Callithrix jacchus: one gene and its partner. The protein of the gene in region 2 purifies or fractionates together with the protein of the main gene of each other region. This does not show direct contact. Links are inferred from orthologs where the notes say so. Each region holds a gene or a part of one and is shown on either strand. Other genes may lie near its edges.

Region 1 (3,650 bases), on a different chromosome or scaffold from region 2:
GTTGGTTCAACATCGCCGGTGATAAATTCTCTTCTCTACATAAAAATGAGGCCTTATTAGGATTATGTTATTAGCTTATTTGGAAACTCAAGAGTTAAATGTATAAATAATGTCTATAAAACGACTTTGAAAACTGCTTATTTTTACAAATATTTTAAGATTCTAAATCTTAGCGTTCAAAGAAAAATACTCAATGTTTCCCTGGGTAACTCTGGATGTTTCACCTAAAGATCTAAAATAAAGATGCTCCCCAACTTCCAATGCTTCGACTAAAGACTTTCAACTTCACAATGGTGCAGAAGCTACCAAACTTCGGGCACCCACAGAGCCACACTGTGTTCTACTCTCGGTGGAGTGTTCAGTAAAGGACACGAGATACTCAGCACTTTATTATAAAACAGGTTTGTGGAAGGTCAAAGTGTTCTGGGCTCGTTTAAGGTAGTCCAGACTAAGCTACATCCGGTAGGTGAGATGCCTTTTTGCCCTAGATGTTGTCAACTTATACTGGGTTTATCAGAACATAACACCGTCTGCATATTAACCTCATTAACAGAGCCCCTACCTTGTCAAAGAGAGGCTGGTATAATGCTGCATACTTTCTTTCCAAGTCATGAACTTCTTCATAGAACTTGGCTTCTATATGAGCACACCTCACCTGAAGTTGTTTCAATGCATTAATTCTTCTTTTTACTGCTTTAGGTAAACTAAAAAAGGGAATAAGAAAGACAACATCCTCATGCCTGCAAAGTAAGGAAGCATGCTTTTCAATTCTATTAAAATAAATTCAGGTTGGCAGAACTAACACCCTTACCATGAACAAGACCTCTTAAAAATCATTAAGGTTGAACATCCCAACAGTAAAAAAGGGTACAGGAGGATGCAGAAAAGACAATTCATGAAAGAATAAACACAAATTGTCCAACACGAAGACAGGTTCAATCTCATAAAATATCCGAAACAATGTAAACATTTAAAAGCACTCATCTATTCCTTACCAAATTGGCAATTAATACCAAAACAAAACACCTAGGTTTTATGAGGCTAAGGGCTAAGAAGCCCTCTAACTGATTCATCTTTCTTAAGGGCAGAAATACTGAAAATGTTCTTTGGACCCAGTAATTCTACCTTTAAGAATTTATCCTTCAGGCGGGACGCAGTGGCTGATGCCTGTGATACCACCACTTTGGGAGGCCAAGGTGGGAGGATTTTGCTTGAGGGCAGGACTCCAAGAGCAGCCCGAGCAATAGAGCAAGACCCCTCTCTACCAAAAACTTCCTAAAATAGCCAGGCATGATGGTGTGCAGCTGACCTGTAGTCCCAGCTACTCGGGAGGCTGATGCAGCAGGATCACTTGAGTCTGGGAGGTCAAGGCAGCAGGAAGCTATGACTGCACTACTGCACTCCAGCCTGGGCAACAGAGCAAGACTCTATCTTACCAAAAGAGGGAAAAAAAATTTATCCTAATCAAGTATTCATGCTGGAGTGTCCATCGATAGATCCGTAAAACTGAAAACTACACGATGCAAGTTCAAATACAGCCTATGCATCACCGCACTGTCCAAGAATATTCAGTGCCACGTGGGATCCACTTGGCACACTGGAGAAACACAGACCATAGATAACACAAGTTTGTCTTAGAGTCAGGCCAACGATGAGTCTGTCTTTCAATCCTTTTCCATGTTTTAAAAAATATTTTAGTTTGTATGTATAACTTCTATAAGTCAGAAGAGAAATCCCTGTTTTTAACCCATCAGAACTATGTGTCACAATCATGCGGACTGAAGAACAGATTCCTGGCCTCATCACAGACCCAAATAATCTACCCTGGGGCAAGGCCCTGGGTCCTGCATCTTGAATACTCATTCACATGATCAGAGTCCTAAGTCTAAGCGCATGACTTACCCTCCAACATCACACTGCACAGAACAATAGGCAGTTCTCACACAGGTATCACTGGGCTGGCAGTTACTAGAACAACTGCGTTGCATCCCAAAGGACCAGTCTCCGGGGTTAAACAGAACCACAGCTAAGGTCCTTAATTTAAGCACTGACTCTCAAATAATGTTTAACACTCTGGAACTACTGCTGGTAGGTGAAAACGAGGGAAAAGCATGAAGAACTGGACTCTCACTGGCATTTGTGCCTCTCTTCTGCTCTGATCATTTGTTCACTGTGACAGGGCACTCTGCTGCCCAGGCTGCAGTGCAGTGGTACAGTTTCGGCTCACTGTAGCCTCAACTTTCTGGGCTCAAATGATCCTCCCACCTCAGCATCCCGAGTAGATGGATTACAGGGGCACACAACCAGGCCAGTTAATTTTTTTTGCATTTTTGTAGAGATGGGGTTTGGCCACATTGCCCAGGCTGGTCTCAAACTCCTGGGCTCAGGCAATCTGCCCGCTTTGGCCTCCCAAAGTGCTAGGATTACAGGTGTTAGCTACCATGTCTGGCTAATTATACGATTTTAAATTAGTTTAATTTTCGAAACTTTCCAACTGAAGTAAAATGACAAAGCATGTTAAACAAACTGGACCCTGGCGTGCCCCAGCAGTCCCCCAATCATTCATATCAACTACACCCAGGTCCCTGCACTTTTCCTGGAATGCGGCCAACACGAAACCACTTCTAGTCCCACATAAACTTGTTGCCACCCAAGCAGTTCCTCACAGAATGCCACCCCACTAGCCCAGTTTTAAAGCGAGAAAACCAGAAACCATTACTCATTCTCAATTCTTGCCACTCCCGCTCAGTATCACTCCATCCCATCAATCTAGTCTGCAAAAAAAAAAACATCAAAAAATCTTACCCACTAAGTAATCCCCTGAAAAGCTTCTAAATGGGCAAAGCAAACTCTGACTGACCTGGCCAACATGGTAAAACGCCGTCTCTACTAAAAACACAAGAAAGCATACAGCAAATCACCACGGCATGTGTACACCTATGTAACAAACCTGAGTTCAGCACATCTAAATACAAAGAAGCTAGGTGGGCATGGTGGCTCACACCTGTAATTCCAGCTGTGGCAGGAGAATCACCTGAACCGAGGAGGCAGAACTTGCAGTGAGCTGAGACAGTGCACCACTGCACTCCAGCCTGGGTGACAGAGTGAAACTCTGTCTCAAAAAAATACGAAGTCCCCTTCTTGTCATAATTGCCCTGGTAGTCGTAATTGGGGAAACCAGTATGTAAGGTGGGACCTCGGAGAGACCAAGCCCTGACCCAATTATAAATGGAAGCCCAGTAACAGCTCATTCCTTTCAACAACAACAACAACAAAACTGCCAGGCACGGTGGTACACGCCTACAGTTCCAGCTACTCTGGAGGCTGAGGTAGGATTACCGGAGCTCAGGAGTTCAAGGTTACAATGAGCTATTACATGCCACTGCACTCCAGCCTGGGCAACAGGGTGAGACTATGACTCAAAAACCAAAATTCCTTCCAGAACGAAGACGGAGGTCCTGACGAGCCATCTGAGGGTCACCGTCCTTCTCATTTTCATATTGCAATGCATCTAGGACACAGGCCTCTTGTAGGAAAGCAAAGGTATCAGCCAGGTGTGGTGGCTCACCCGTCAAGCCAGCATTTTGGGAGGCGGAGGCAGGAGAACGAACTGAGCCTAAGAGTTCAAATCCAAAAGCAGCGTAGGCAAT
Region 2 (3,750 bases):
GGGCTTTCTTGGCTTTGACCTTGGGCCGAGTATCCTGATTTTCCTGAGCCTGGGCAGCTGTACTCTCAGGCTCAGGTTCATCTGCTGGGGCCTGAGAGGCAGCAGCCTCAGTCTCCTGGGCCTTTGCATTGACCTTCGTATCAGCCACACAGCTGGCCTTTTTGGTGTCAGTGGCAGGCATTGTCACAGCCTGTGGGTCAGCATTCTGCTTCTTGGTGTCAGCTGCTGGACTCTTGTTTTCAGCTGCCAGAACCGGGGTATCAGTCAGCTGAGTAGTAGATGAGGCCTGGGTGGCAGGTGCCTCCTGAGCCTCTGGGGTCTTTGAGACCTCTGTGGCCTTTGTGACCCCAGAGGCTTTTGAGACCTTCACATCCTCTGAGACCTCTGGTGCCTTTGAGGCCTTCGGTGTCTCTGGGGCCTCCACATTCTGGGTCACTGTCAATTGAGTCTGCATCGTCAAGCTACTGTCCTTTTCTGAAGCTTCAGCCTGCAAGAGGAAGCAGGGAAGTTCACGGATCTTCTTCCCACCCCCAACTAAGCAAATGGCCCAAAATTCTAAGGCCACACTTCTCTGACCTGTACTGACTCCTACCGGTGTGCTCTGACCACCTCAACCCAACAAGGCCTCCCTTTCCTCTGAGCAAAAACTGATGGCAGAAAAGGGGCCCGCCCACCTTCTCACCCTCCCTCCACTGGGCAGGGGGACACCCAGGCAGTAAAGTAGGTGGAGAAAGACAAGGATGGGAGGGTGGCAACAAGGGCTGGAGAGGAAAACAGTTGGGAAAAGGACAGAAAGAGGCCTTACCTGGAAGCGAGTTACACCCGCACCACTCTCGCTTGTGTCAGACATGTCTCAATTTGGCCTGGCAAGAAAGAGCTGAGCCTGAAGGGGAGAAGGCCTGGGTCAAATTGAAGCCCACTGAACGTCCTCTCCCCTGTTGTGCCTGGAGGCTGATCCTCACCCTCCGTAGGTCCCCAATTCCAACCCCCTCCACCACCCCCAATGACTCTGTTCTCAGTCAGATACAGGAATCCAAAGCGTCTAAGTCTCAATTCTCTGCAGCCGCACCCTCCCCTTTCTCCAGGAAGATGTGCCAGCGCGGCAGCTCTGAGGACCCCGCCCCTTTTCCCAGTGCACCCCCCACCCAGCTGCAGGTCGATAGAGCGCATGCGCGTCGGCTGCGGGGCCGATCTCAGCCCCGCCCGCTTTCGCACGAGCCCTTTCTTTGATGTCCACCGTGCACATGCGCATTCAGCAGCTGGCTCGTCTCAGGGCTGGCCCTACTCAACACGCCCCTTTCTAGCGATACATACTGCGCATGCGCGATGGTCGTGGTCTCAGCCTGGCACTCTACCCCAACACACGCCCCTCTCCGGGTCCGCAGTACCAATCGGTCCCGCCCCCTCCCCAACAAGCCTTCCTCCAAAATTGTCGCAGTGTTTGGTGGTCCCGGCCCCTCCCCTACTCACGCTCTACCAAGTCGTGTCTCTTGGCCCCGCCCTTCTTCCTAACACGCCCCCCTCCAAACAGGCGCATCTTGGTTCCGCTCCTTCCCTATTACACCCCTTCCTCAAATAAATATTGAGCTAGCGATTCCATCTTGGGCCCGGCCAAGCCGGGTCCAGTCCCCTCCCTTCTCAGCCGGATGGATCCGGTACGATCCGGTCCTTATGGCAGGTTTTCTCCAAATCCCAGAGGGTGGGGCCGACCCCTAGCGGGGCTCTCATCCAAAAGACGACCCGGCTGCTCACCTCGTCCTCCTACGATTCCCGAGTGCGTCCACTCACTCCAAGCCCCTCCGAAACTCGGAGACTGCCCTCCCCGCTCTAGGCCGGAAGTGGTCCCGCCCCTTTCCGCCTCCCTAGGGGGCCTCCGTCCCAGGCTGTCTGCCCCTCCCCCGCTCCCTGCTCCTCATTCCTTTTGCCCCCCTCCGTATTCCCTTAGCCTCGCTCCCTACTCCCTACTCCCACTTAACATTTCCTATTTACTCCACAGAATTCCCTCTTCCCATTCCTTACATCCTCCTCCGTGTGACGTTTGCACATCCTGCCCCTCAGTATTCCTTAACCCCTCTCTGCATCCCTGATTAACTCTTCTCAGGATCTTCACTCCCGCTCAGTGTTCTCCTCCCCGTTTGCATTCCTCATCCCCCTCCCAACATTCCCGGTTCCCCGTTTTTCTCCCCTCCTCCTCCGCTAGTCTCTGCTCCCAGTCTGTGCAGCCTACTACTTTCTCAGTCGTCCTCATTGCCTACACCCCACTCCAGGTCACCTCTGCTTCAGCTGCAGTGGTGCAGTAAGAATTGCTCATCTGCCCGGCTATGGGTTCGAGAGGTCTGGAACCATTAACTGACCGCCGTAAAACCCCGATCTCAACGCCCCTCACCTTGTCCTCCAGCGAGTTCGGGATGCGTCTGCCTTCTCTCAGTCCCTCTCGAAGTCTCAGCCTCCTGGACTAGAGCTGCAGACAGCCCAACCCAGCCCAGCCCCTTTCCGCAGCCCCCTGCCACCCCCCCTCGCCTTCCTCGGGGGTGGGGCAGTGAGGCCCCGCTCAGGGCTGTCTGACGCCAAAGCCCATGTTTATGCCACTGTACCAGGCTCAGTCTGAAGCTCTTCCAACCCAAACCGCCCCCTGAAAGCAAGTCATTCATTGAATGTATTTATTTTTATATCTTCATATTTTCGTATTACAAAGGTAATATGTTGTTGTTTTGTTGTTGTTGTTGTAAAAATTCAAACAGTGCAGAAATGTGTAACATACCTATGAAAGGCCACTCTTATCTCCCAGAAATAACCACTATTAACATTTTGCTATGCAGACTTTTTCTGTTCATATACTTATTATTCAGGTTCTCTCTCCAACAGACGGTCCACTGTACATATTTTTTCCAGTTATAGATCTTTCCATTAGTGCACATTTTTCTAAACAGCTGCATGATCTTTTCTTGTATAGATGTCCCATAATTTATTGAACCAGTCCAATACACATATACATTTGGGGCACTTTTTTTGTTGTTATTTATGGTATTTTTTTGCTAGCTCAAATGCTACAAAAAAGTCTTCCATTTTGACACAAAATGTCTCAATTTATTCCTAAAAAGTACATGGAATAACATTCCCACCAACAATGTCTCTTGTGTACGTGTTACATATTAGAAATATTTTTCATGTCATTTTATGATAACTTTTGCCAAACAAAAATGTTTAATTATTATGTAGTCAAATATATCTGTTTTTCCTTTATCACAACTGGCTTCTGCTGCTTGCTTAAAGATGCTTTTCACACTCCTATAACAATCCCCATTTTTTTTCAAACACTTTTACAGCTTTATTATTTACGTTTAGATGTTTGATCATTTCAAAATTTATTTTCTATACGGATGCAGCTTGATTACTCCCCAAAATCATAGTCTCTTACCCCTACATCATGTGCAAACTAATCCATCTTTTCCCTCTCTGCTTTGAGATGGCACCTCTACCCATTGGGAGAGCCTTTGAAATGGCTCTCTATCCATGAGAGCCCCACTAGGGGTAGGCCCCATCCTCTGGGATCTGGAGAAAACCTGCCATAAGGACCTGATCTTACCGATCCACATAATAAATTTACATAAGCAATTGGATCTATTCAAGAGAACAAAATAAGATGTGAAATAATAGGAAGTAGACAAATCATCCTTAATTACTGACTATATAACTGCAGACCTGGAAAACCCAAGAGCATCAACTAAAAAGTTATTAGAAACCATTGTA

Evidence for each region.
Region 1: the proteins of MAGED2 (region 2) and NAP1L4 purify together in Homo sapiens (affinity purification with mass spectrometry; 3 studies listed by BioGRID and IntAct, counting the BioPlex papers as one, with this or other methods). This does not show direct contact. The link is inferred for Callithrix jacchus from reciprocal best matches to the Homo sapiens genes MAGED2 and NAP1L4.

Annotation. Positions count from the first base shown.
Region 1 is NC_133511.1:128,874,322-128,877,971, reverse strand, and holds part of NAP1L4 (nucleosome assembly protein 1-like 4), read right to left. Parts: intron 705-3,650; coding exon 563-704; intron 36-562; coding exon 1-35. UniProt on the Homo sapiens protein: Acts as a histone chaperone in nucleosome assembly.
Region 2 is NC_133524.1:55,099,107-55,102,856, reverse strand, and holds the start of MAGED2 (melanoma-associated antigen D2), read right to left. Parts: upstream 2,445-3,750; 5' UTR 2,387-2,444; intron 2,256-2,386; exon of another isoform or gene 2,020-2,255; intron 1,809-2,019; exon of another isoform or gene 1,753-1,808; intron 884-1,752; 5' UTR 851-883; coding exon 806-850; intron 488-805; coding exon 1-487. UniProt on the Homo sapiens protein: Regulates the expression, localization to the plasma membrane and function of the sodium chloride cotransporters SLC12A1 and SLC12A3, two key components of salt reabsorption in the distal renal tubule.